Linked DNA regions of Oryzias latipes. The protein of the gene in region 1 interacts with the protein of each later gene in a pairwise test. Links are inferred from orthologs where the notes say so. Each region holds a gene or a part of one and is shown on either strand. Other genes may lie near its edges.

Evidence for each region.
Region 2: the proteins of ybx1 (region 1) and c1qbp interact in binary tests that used the Homo sapiens proteins (3 or more experiments, as listed by UniProt). The link is inferred for Oryzias latipes from reciprocal best matches to the Homo sapiens genes YBX1 and C1QBP.

The regions. Positions count from the first base shown.
Region 1 is NC_019865.2:7,797,064-7,803,265, reverse strand, and holds the start of ybx1 (nuclease-sensitive element-binding protein 1), read right to left. Parts: upstream 3,564-6,202; 5' UTR 3,428-3,563; coding exon 3,316-3,427; intron 1,774-3,315; coding exon 1,710-1,773; intron 1,484-1,709; coding exon 1,450-1,483; intron 1,361-1,449; coding exon 1,271-1,360; intron 1,202-1,270; coding exon 920-1,201; intron 589-919; coding exon 491-588; intron 237-490; coding exon 1-236. UniProt on the Homo sapiens protein: DNA- and RNA-binding protein involved in various processes, such as translational repression, RNA stabilization, mRNA splicing, DNA repair and transcription regulation.
Region 2 is NC_019872.2:21,255,049-21,261,217, reverse strand, and holds c1qbp (complement component 1 Q subcomponent-binding protein, mitochondrial), read right to left. Parts: upstream 3,808-6,169; 5' UTR 3,677-3,807; coding exon 3,424-3,676; intron 2,520-3,423; coding exon 2,369-2,519; intron 2,289-2,368; coding exon 2,195-2,288; intron 2,117-2,194; coding exon 2,021-2,116; intron 1,940-2,020; coding exon 1,814-1,939; intron 1,736-1,813; coding exon 1,586-1,735; 3' UTR 1,339-1,585; downstream 1-1,338.

The DNA of each region.
Region 1 (6,202 bases):
CAGCCCCACCCTGCTGGGCCTCGGGAGCGGACGTTTTTTCTGCAGATGGTTCACCTCCTGCCTTGGCATCCTTGCTTTCCTGGCCTGGTTTACCACCAGTCTGTTGGCGTCTGCGACGGTAGTTGAAGTTGCGGCGGTAGCGCCGCTGACGGGGCTGTTGATTCTGACCACCTTCACCTCCCTGATTCTCCTTGTCCTCCTCACCATCCCGCACCGGTCTGGGACGGGGTGGACCCCTAAAAAGGAGGAGAGGAAAACCAAAATTTGAGCAAGGACATTGATATCTAGGAGGAACAAAAATACTTTACTGGGACCGGGAATGATTCTGAATTTACAGAGAAAGAAAATATATAAACAAATCCCAGCGAGTTGATACAGGTCTGGATTGAAAAGAACTGACTGAAAACTGACTTTGGTTTTTCCAACTTAAATGTTGGTTTGATACTGAAAGCTTTTCTCCATCATTCAAGGACAAAGCCAATGTGCAAACCTGGGTGTGAACCTTGGTCTGAAGCCTCTGTAGTAGTTCTGCCTCACTGGTTTGTTGCCCTGGTCTGGACCTCCCTGGTTTTCATCGCCTTCAACTCCCTAAAACAGAGCAAATCAAGCAAAAAAGCTTTCTCAAACAAACAGATTATTCAGTATAGCACAGAAATATTGAAGCAACACGAACACTTTTTTAAGAAGAGACGGCCAATTTAAGTCCATCGGACAATAGCGTGACCCCCGATACACCAAACTTTGACCACAACCACGTGAGCTTTACCAAGGAGCATGTTGGGAGAAGAGCAAGTGTCTCGACTGTCATGGTACAACTGGTTGCCTACTTCTGGATAGCAGCCTGGTGACCGCGTACCACAGTCATTTCTCCGCGTGGTGCATTGGTGTACGGGGGTCCACGACCATAATGTCTACGTACAAAGTATGGTGGGTAGCGTCGTCTGCTGGGGTAAGTGGGTCTGCGCTGCTGTGGCTGCGATTCTCCCTCAGGGGCGCTTTCTCCCCCGTCTCTGTTTCCTTTGTCACGCACTCCGTTGCCAGGCTCGCCTTCTCCATCACTTGGGTAGTTCTCTGGGTATTCTCCTCCACGAGGGGGCCCCCTTCTGCGTGGGTAACGCCTGTAGCGGTTCCTGTCAGCAGCGTATTTGCTTCCCTGGACAGCCACCCCTCCAGGGCCAGTGACATTTGCTGCCTCTGCACCCTGTTAACAGATAAGTTTAAAATTGACAACATGCCTGCAAACATAACCAAATTCTTCCCAAAACATTACCTTCTCTCCCTCAACTACATCAAACTCCACAGTCTCTCCGTCCCCAACACTGCGAAGATACTTCCTTGGGTTGTTCTTCTTTATGGCTGTCTGAAATCATCAACAATTGAAAAGTGAATTAGTCGAAATAAAAAAAAAATGTTTTAAGTTTCCAAAAGGTTTGGAAAATAATAGGTCACCTGGTGTACAAAAACATCCTCTTTTGTGTCATTCCTGAACAAAAAGAGAAAAAAATAAAAAGATTCAGTTATACCACACATGACTTACTAAGACAACACACCTCTGAAGACAGATTGCAACTAAGCCAACAAGTGCAAGGATTAATGAAGTCTTGCAGGTTACAGTGTGCATGCAGACCACTAGAAAAAATAATCAGGTCAGCCACGTTAGCAAAGCAATAATCATAATAGGATTGGGAACGCTGGAGGTGGTCATTTACCTATTGATGAAACCATATCCATTCCTGACGTTGAACCACTTGACTGTACCCAAGACTTTTGTTGCTGCAATGAAAAACAGAGCAACTCAGTTATCAAGTGTCAATATTACTTCTCTAAGCTGCAAAGGTAATTTTAGAATAGCAGTAATGAAATTTTGAAAATATGATAATAGATTGGGAACAGTCAAAGCATCGCACATAATAAGATATGTGCAGGAAAAAACTAGCCATAGTGTGGACGTTAAAAATAACTTCCAACTGTCGTGCTTATTATAGATGCTGATGCTTAGGAGAGCCTGGCGCCAGCTGCTCCCGGTGTGAAGCTCCGGCCATGGTAGAAAACAGTCCAATTACATTGACTGCAAATGTGTGGAAGGAATGCGGATAACACGGGGAACAGAGCTTACGACACGTCAAACTTCAAAACAAGTAACCTCGCGTTTAGCAACTGCATTTAGAGAACTCGGACATTAAAGACCTACTGCCCCATTTTAAGACGCCCAGTTCACGACGTGAGCGTTCACACGTGGTAGGGTCGCACACGGACAGACCGAAAAACAAGCCGAGTTGGCTTCTTAGCTTAGCCGTGTAGCTAAGAGTTACAACCATGTGGTTGGAGTATAGCCAAAAAGCGGAAACCAACGTAATAAACCCATCAACATCTTACAGATGTTACTTCGAAACTACTTAAGCAAGCGCTTTTAGTACCTAAACCGAGCTAGAATAGAACTGTAACGTATAAACGGATCGTGTAACGGCGGACATTTTGGGTGGCCTTTTCAGCCATGTAAATAGCCAGCCAGCTAGCTGGCTAGGCTAACATTAGCATCGTTAGCAACTGGAAAGCTATCGTGAAATAATTAGGCCTCACCGAAAATGTAAAAAAAAAATCGAGTTAAAGCTTAGGACGGTTTGAATACAAATCCCAAAGCGTTTATTATTGAATATATCTAATAGTTACAAAATAAACTTGAAAACAACCACCTTTAAGCTTTGACAGAGAATACAGGGATTCGACACTTGTGCGAACAAAGGGATAGTAAGCAGCTAGCGTCAGTTGCCGGTGAACTTGTTAGTGTGAACTAACGCAGGGTATTTCCAAGTTTAAAACATTTATTCGTCATTTTTTCGGGTTTTGTTCGTACTTTTGGCGGTTAACGGTGAGAGATAAAGGTCTGCAACGTCTGGTAGTAAACATGCTGGATCTGACATAAATTACTCCTACGATCATCCATGTGACGGCCGTTTGGATGCATGCGTCTCTTTTTCGCAAATGTTTTCCCACCAAGACAGAAAATCATGGATTAAGTGGTTATTTACTACATTTCTAAGATGTGGATTTTTCCTAAACTTGTGACATCTCATAGTTAATGAGAATGATACGCTATTAATGAATAACCGTTCCCAACTGACAGTTTTTAAAATGTATAATTATATTGACAGTTGGTATCACAATTCGACGTACGGTTTAACGTCCAACTACTTAATAAAGTTGATCGTAACGGTCATTTTACATTAACATAATTCAACGGCTGTTTCTGTCTCGTTTACAGCAACATAAACCACGTTTAGCATCTAGTTAGCTAAGTGGAGTCGGCAGTCTTACCGATGACCTTCTTATCCCCCGCGGAAGCTGCAGCTGCCGGGCTGGATGGGCTTTCCGCATCATCGGCAGCAGGCTGCGGTGGTTGTTGTTGTGTCTCGGCCTCGCTGCTCATAGTTACTGGTTGGTAATGGCTTCTGCCGGCGGCGGCTCTCTGCTATTTTTCCCGGTGCTAGATGGTAACGTGGGCCGGCGGTGGTGGGGGCTACTGCCTTCGGGCTCTCAGCTTTCCTCTTTCCGCTCCCGTTGCCGATCGAACTGGGCAGAATCAGTAGTTGTGTTGGGGAATGTTCTTGGTTGTGGCCCCGCCCATTCGAGCTTTTCACTGGCTGGAATTATTGACTGAATGCGTCACAGAAAAAAGGCGTCCTCTGATTGGCTAGACTACTGTCAGTCTAGTTGAAGCGACGCGTTTTCACGAACGGTTGGTTAAAGGTACCGTACCTGTCAGTTTTCACCGCCCCATTGTAATCATGTGTCAGATGCATAAAACTAAAAAAAAAGACGCATAAAGCTAGTGTTGATCCACGTAAACCCCTTTTAAAACCGTAGTTAAACAACATTTTTATGGCATTATTAGGAAATATTAGCCTACTTTTAAATATTGCTGGAGGCTAACAATTTATGTAAAATTTCAAAAAGTTTGACTCCCACAAAAGAATCAGAATATATTGTAAATTTAAAAAAACATCCACAATATTGCTTTTTTATTTTTACTTTTAAAATGAATGGTTGTTACCTGTAAATAGTGATGATTAAACATCAAAAACCAAACTTGATAACCAAAATACAAAAGATCCAATCTGCAAATTTTTAGATTTGACTTTTTGCAAAGAGAATTAGATTTTGTGAGGTGAACATTTGTGAGGACCAACCATTCAACCTGCATTCTTTGAACCCTTATAACATTAAATGCACATGAACTGTTTAAGGGAAATGCTTATTGCATATTAATTGTATTTTCTACACATAGAACAAAAGAAGAGCTTAATAAATCTTTAACAAAATGACAGTGAATTTCACATGTGAAAACCATGCACCATTCTTTCCTAGTTAGCTTGGCATAGTTGGGATGTCTTGTCTTGTAGTCCCTCTTGATATTGAATTTCTTGAAAACATCCAGCCTCTTGCATGTTTAGTATCTTACTGAAAAAAATACACAAATTTCTACTTGTCCTGAAAGCAGCGACCCCCAATTGTCAACATTTGTTAAATTTACAGTCGACATTTTAGAAATGAGCTAAAAGGTATTGCAAAAGGGTCACATCATAGTGTTGCCATAGGTTTAAAATGGTTTATAAAGTAGGCAATCATAATCAAGAAATCATACACAGTTTCCTGGGAGCACATTTATTTTTATAAAAGGTACCAGCAGGCTAGAAGAGGCTTTCAGGAGGGCTGCATTTGGCCAGACTTTGTAGAGATCTAGAAAGAAACCTTTGACAGGTTTCTGAACCCACCTTGGACCGGCCAGACTTTGGACATGCCTGCCTTAAATGGTGAGAACAAGAATAACTCCATATTTAAAGTGAACTTTCAAGACAATCCTGCCCTTTTTTGAGAAATATTAAATAGAAATATAGAAAATATTCCAGCACTGACTGGAATATTTGAAACAATCTCCGTGTTTCTTGAAAAAAAGAGATTTTTTTCAGATCGGACGTTTTGTATGTAGGGTGTGTATTCCTTTCACATATTTTTTTAGTTGTTATAACCTGGTATTGTACTGCTTCACTGCATGTGACCCATCACCTGGGGGAGCAATGAGCTGCACACACGGCCACCATTGATTGCTGAACCCCCCAATCCAACCTCTTAATGCTGAGTGTCAAATGTTGTGTCCCTTTTTTGGAGACTTTGTTATGATTTGAACTCTTGACTTCTGTCTCAGGACAGACACTCTTCCACAAGGCCACCGAGTTAAGCAAAGTTGACATACTAAAAATGTAGATTTTCTATTATTATTCCCATCTGCTATATGTGCCATGGAACTTACTATTAACATGTTTTAATTAAATTTCAATAGCAATTAGTTGCTAGCAGGCTCCTAGAAGTTAGAAGCTGGAAAAAGTATGGTGCACTGGGATTCTGTCCTCGATTCTCATCTACTTCTCCTCTCCTCTATTTTTGATTATATATTTATCATCTAGTTCTCCATGCCTCTGTTTGGTGCAGTGTGATTAATGTGTTGTCCCTCTTTCCCATTTCAGATTCCAGTTGGCCCGTCTTTGCTCCTGTCCTTGGACCTCGCCTCTGGCTCGTTTCGCGCTCCCAGCCGTCCCCCAGTACCATCTGGATGAAGCCTATTTGCTACACTATTCAAACATGTACGGTAGTTGTAGAGTTAGATGAGCTATTTCTTCTTTAACAGTCCTGGTTCATCGCCTGTCCATCCTGGGAGAGGATCCCCCTGTCAAAGGGAACATGCCTGAGGTTTTCTTTCTATTTTTTTCCACGAATGTTTTTTTTTTTTTTTTAGGAGTTTTTTCTTACAGAGAAGGAGGGTCTGAGGGCAGGGATGCCCAGTTTAGTTTAGCAATCAGACATTGTATTTTACAACTGATTTTATGCTTTTTACAATTGTGAAGCCAGTTGAAGCAACTTTGTTGTAATATTGGGCTATATAAATACAAACAGCGCTCTTGCCTCACAGCAAGAAGGCCCCTGGTTCAAGTCCAGGGGCTTTCTTGCTGGGGGACCTGAAACAGAACATCAATGGGGACCTTTCTGTGTGGAGTTTGCATGTTCTCCCCGTGCATGCGTGGGTTCTCTTTGGGGACTCCGGCTTCTTCCCACCGTCCAAAAACATGCTTCATAGGTCAATTGGTTAATCTAAATTGTCCCTAGGTGTGAGCGTGAGAGTGAATGGGTGTGTGATTGAGGACATTCT
Region 2 (6,169 bases), on another chromosome or scaffold:
TTTTCTTTAAGGGCTTTAGTTACAATATGTTATCGTTTTTTGTTTCATTTTTTTTAAAGAGTAACCTGAAAAAATTAAAAATTTAATCTGTATTTAATACAGGGGGGGGGGGGGCTGCATTGTTTTAGTGTACCAGTCAGAAATTTCGTTTAAACATCTTATCCACATAATGTTGTTCAGATTGATCAACTGTATCCATCAATTTTCTGAACCTGCTGAGCCCTTTTCAGTGTCAAAAGGTGACTGGTGCCAATGCAGCTACTGATGGGTGAGGGGGGGGGGGGCACCCTGAACAGTCTGTTGCAGAGCCACACATTCACACCCAGAATCACCAATTAACCCATGAACCTTGTTTTTGGACTGGGTAGCCGGAGTGCCCCAAGAAAACCCACACAGAAAAACTCCACACAGAAAGAACCCAGCTGGGATTTGAACCAGGGCCTTCTCACTGTAAAGTAAAAGTGCTTACCATGACTCAAACCAGTTTTTAAAATATTTTGTTGGTGTTAAATGTTGCACACATGAGTACACACATAGCTATTATGGATTACTGAAACTTTTGCTTTACCTAATTTAATACGCAAACACACTTCCATGGTTACCATTGCTTTATTTAATGTTATTTTCTTGAGAGGCTGGTGAGCTATTTGTATAAACTTTATCCGTCTCTCGTGGCATAGCAACACTTTCAAGTATTGATCTTACCTTTTGGTGTCCTTCACACAAATGAAACCTGTAAACCTTGTTTAACCTTGTGTTTTTGTGTTGCCTTTATTACAAACATCAAGCACAGAATGTGTCTGCTTTTTCAGATCCAGTCCAATGCAAACATTTTGCCATTTTTATCATGTTCTTGTGGTATTTCTCTGATGGAGGACATACATTAGGAAGCTTAAGCTCAAAATTGCATTTCTGAGTGATTCTTTTTTAATTTATTGTGAATCAAGAGCAGATGAAAAAGAGCTTATTTGTAGCGTGGGAAATAGCTGGGAGGAAGGGGGGCGGGGTTGCTTCTTAGGAGGAGCTTAAGGTTTGATCAACCTCTATTGCACATAAACAGTTTAATATTGTTTTTCCATTTGTTTCCTTTAAACAGTTCTATTCATTTCTAAATTATAAAGAATCTTTCAAATAATTTCAGTTTTGAAGCATCTGAACTTGTTCAAGTTTTACTGTATTGAGAAAAATGTAAGGTGATGATTATGATCTAAAACCTTGAATTGGTTCTGTGTGGAATTTGTGTGTATTTATTTTGTTTTTAAGCCACCAACAAAATGTCAATGTTCCTCAATAAACATAAAAACTTCCTAAAGTAAAACCTCAGAATGTGACAAATTCTCGAATGAAAACTGACAATTCTCTTTATTAGCTTTAGAACAGGTCTTGATTGAACGTTTACACATTTAAAGGGGACATGAGATGTAAAATAGAGGCTGAGAAACTAAATGATCACTATGGCTGACAAATATTTCTATTGAAGTTACAGAAAAACAAGCAACATTCTTGTTGCCGGGTGCCAAACATGAGTCTTGAGTGCTTTAGTCCTTTGAAATTTCATCTGGAGAACAGACAGTTAAGTTAAATATTAGTTACATTTGACAAAGCTTTGGAGATCTTCCAGGAACTTGATGTACTCTTGGTGCTCTATGGCAGTGCTGAGCTCCATGAGCTCGTCTGTGAAGGTGTTATCAATGCCGCGGTCGGCCAGGAAGTCCATCAAATGATCGTACAGCGCCTAAAAAGAACCCAGCAGAGTTGAGAACATCCCACCTTCATGACCCCCCGTGTGCTCATGGTTCACAGCAGCTCTTACCCAGTCCAGGGAGTCTGTGTTGAGGGTGTAGCTGGTCTCCTTCCACTCAGAGTCTCCCTCTGGCTGAAAGCTGACCTCCCGGATGGCAAAGATGTCGCTCTCCTCCTCCCCCTCACCATGACTCATCTACATTGGATAAAGTCGGCACCTTTTTACCTAACCACTTCATCCAGAAGTTTTTCTTTCTTTCTTCGTTTTAATTCATACCTCATCCTCAGGGAAATGACAGTCAAACACGAGCGTGTGCTTCCCATTCTGTTTTGTTACTTCAACAACAAAGTTTGGCGTAGATACAATCTCTGGCTACAAAGGAAAACAACAACTAGTGAGCATAAATAAATGATAAGATCACAAATCTAGAAGGTAATTCGAAAGCTTCACCTCTTCCTCTGCTGGTTTCTGCTGCTGCTGCGCTTCCTCCTCCTCCTCAAAGCTTGGAGGGATGCTGTTGTTAACGTTGAATGTGACCGTCACTCTGAAGACAGAAAATAAAAGCTGCTTTGCAGGAACTCCTACACGGTCACTTTGTCCTCAGAGAGTGAGCCATCGCCTTACTTTTCACCAGAAAGGTGTCTTGTGAGTTTGGCCTCTGTGCCGTTCATCTCAAGCTCCCATCCTCCAGACATCTTAGGAAGGGTTTTGTTTTTCTGGATCTTCTTTTCCTCTTTGATTTCATCGGACAGGAAGTTACCAAACGCTTTGTCTCCTGAGAAAAAGACAACAGATTTAGGTGAAACTGTGTGATGTAGAATGGACAACTTGATAAAAAACATGAATCCACATTTCACACAGGATGGGATGACAACATAACTTTATATGAGTAAACTATTGGCTTCGGCAGAGGGGATTTGGAAAAACTTATCAGTGAACCTTAATGTTTTATGTTTAAACATGTGACAAGTTAGAGGTGAAAAAACTTGATAAAATGCATTATCTGAAACAATTGTTACACAATTACATACAAAATACCTACATCGTGTAGAATCTTTAAGTGTTGATGGATAACACACCAGCGGAATATTCAAAAAAACAAATGCTGACTGAGTAAATACAGATGTAAATATAAAGGGACTCTTCACTTGTGATTAGTTTAAAATGTTAAAAGCTCCACTCCAATCACCTCCCGCTCGATTGTAAAAGCGTTCACAGTGGGGTTTTTTTAAAAATAATAATTTTGACGTTTTTAGCCAAATCTTTATAAAACCTGTGTCGTTTTCCAGGAGCAATTTCTGCCGAGTGGAAGGAGTAAAGAAAAAAAAAAAAGAAATAAAAACAAGCACTTTTAATGAGGAAAATCGGGTCACTGTAAAATTCAAATAGTTTGTGAAGTCTGGAAATTAGCAGTACTGTTGCTAAGCGACAAGTTAAAACATCAGTTGATTGTTTATCATCTAAAGCTTTGCCTGCCAAAGTGATGTCAGCTCTTTAGCTCCTAAACCAGGATGCAGCACGCTCGCCGTGTCGTCTAAAACCCCAATTAACCGCCACGTGTCTTTCAATTTTGTAAGCAACTTAAGCTGTTTTGCTGCTTTAAATAACCCAAACTTGTGTTTACAGGTTCTCTTTTTTTTTTAGATAAATGAAACAAAAACATGCGGACGTTCAGCTACCTTCCGTGTGCAGCCCTCCACATCCACACGACACAGACGGACTTAGTACTTTTGAGCTGAACAGTTTAGGTCTGTATCCCGACGGGGCTCCGTTACTGTTCAACATCCACAGGGAGCGGGTGAAGGGCCGAGATGCAACCGAACCAGGAGAGCGGTTGGTCGGACAGCTGAGCGGCAGAGCCCGTGCAGCAGCGGATGGTGCCGAGGACAGCCGAACAGCAGCTCCCACCGCGCGGACCAGAGACTTTAGCATGATACTATAAACTGTTTAAAGAAGAGAGAAAAATAAGAACACGCAGGCACCGACGTACTACCAGGAACGCTTCTAGAAGACACCGGCAACACGTGTGGAAGGGCACATTGACCTAGCGTAACTATGACCCCTGAACCGGAAGTAGTACTTAGTTCAGTAAACATTAGTTTTATATCAAATAGTTGACTTTACTTTACTAAACACTAAACACTAACTGATTATATATGATGGTAAAATAGGATGGTAAAATTAAATGGAAAAACATTTTTAAAAAATAGCTGAAAAAATATGATGCACTTTTAAAAAACGTAGTGCATTTTCAGTGGCGCCCCCCTGTGTCTTCGATGTGAATGTTTTATTAGAGATTGTCTGCCTTCTTTAGTGGCGGGAGTTCTTTATTTATTTATAATAAACTCGACAGCACATACAAGTGAAATAAAATTTGATTAAATAAGAAATATCAATACAATCTCAACCGGTAGAGGCCCGTCATGTAGAAACATTGCATCATCCTTTGCGACAATATATATTGAAATTGTAGTCTTGCTGCCATCAGATGGTGCTGTCTGACATGTTTTTAAACCATTCAACGCCCACTATACAGCCAATTCATTTTTTAAGATAAATTTATATGCTTTTTAAACCCCTTTATCAAAGCCACGAAAATTTGCTAAATATATATATATAAATATATGTAAAAAGATTATTTTCTATTCTATAAAAAAATGTGTTCACCATGGAAACTACTGTTTTCTAAGTTAGGAAATTCTGTAACGGTTTGGACTGAATCTGCTAATTTACAAACTATCGGTTGCGACTGTGACCGCACTTTTTTTTTTTTTTTTTAAGGAATCAGTTTGAAAAAAAAAGTCTCTTTGTTGTCAGACTTCCCTAAAGACAGTACAAAAGCACAAAAGCAACTTGAGAGATTTATGTCCCCACATTTTTGAAGGAAATTATTCAGACCTAAAGGGTGAGTTTAGTGGTGTTTTTTTTTAAGTTTCTTTTTTTAACTTTTCTTTATGAACACAGTAGCTTCTGTGAATTTAGCACAGATAATGTTACCATGAATTCCTGATAAATGTTGTAATTATCTTGACTATTTCACATATAATTTAATTATTTGAATTTTACATATATACATACATGTAAATATAGACCAAGAGCTTTTATGTATCTATCTTTACTAAACCTTTTTAAAGGTAGTGGCTGTAGATAAGTTTGCATTCTTATGTGGATGGAAATTCTGCTGTTGAAAAAAGGCCAGAAATGATGCAAAATGTTACTAAAAAAACTCCCATAATTTCCATGTTATTGACTTGATACCACTGTAAGTTAGTTCATATTATATCATAAGGATTTGTCAGTAAGACAAGCTTAGCTTTAATGGCTGGAGGTTAAAAAAGAAAGATTATTGTCTCATTTCACAGCAAAGGTTAATGCAAATCAAGTTGCGTATCTGTGTCTTGAATGGGAGCAGCTCTGATGTTTGACCTTCTCTAGTTCAATGTTCTGCCGGCAGATGACCTCGCAGCCATTTGTTTCTCTGCAGTTTGTCTGCAGTGTGCATGTCACACGCTAATAAGTGAGTTTAGGGTGCTTTATTTTAACAATTAGAGTGAAGGGTCATGTAATGAGAATGCCTGACTGAAGTGTCCGATATGTCCGTCAACTGTGCCAGTGTTTCTTTCTTTGATGGCAGTTGTGAGACAAAACTGTCATCAAGCTGACTCATTTCTGATTCAACAGATCAAAAATTCAATAATTTGTCTCAAAGTCCACTGATCCAAATATTTCGACTGTGAGCAGTCTGTGGTGTTTCTCTGAGATCAGATCTTTGCGACCATTGTTGTTCCAGAGACGACGGGAGCAGCAGGACAGCAGCTCAGGAAGTGATGACGAGCCTCCAGAAAGAGGACCTGCGTCCGAGTGCTGCTGCTCCTGAGCCAGATGTGAGCATTCCAGATGTTTGTAGAAGTATTCCTTTGATTTACACACGTCTACACTTGCTGCAGCTGTGGTAAAGGTAAAGAAGCAGGTGAAGCATTTTCTGACTCCTCCTCCTCCGTCTGTCTGCCGAAGGTTCAGGCTCCAGTCCTCCAGTAGAACAGGGAAAGCGCTCAGCCTGCCGCTCCCAAACCTCCGCTGTTGTTGTAGAGGTCATTTAGGAGTTCATCATGTGATGGCTGACTGACTCTCCATACAACTCGTAGATGTAACACACACACTAACATACAAACATACTAATATGCACACACACACACACATGCACACGTACCCACAAACACACTAATACATGCACACGCTTAAGCGCACACCTACACACACACACACTGTACTAATTAATAATTAGCAGATGCATTTACTAATTTTTGTTTCCTTATTTACAGGAGTACTTTGCAGTGCTTCTATACTTAAAATTTAATACAATACAATTTACAATTTAATATTAAAAAGAATAAATAAAGGTTTGGATTTAAACTGCATATGTTT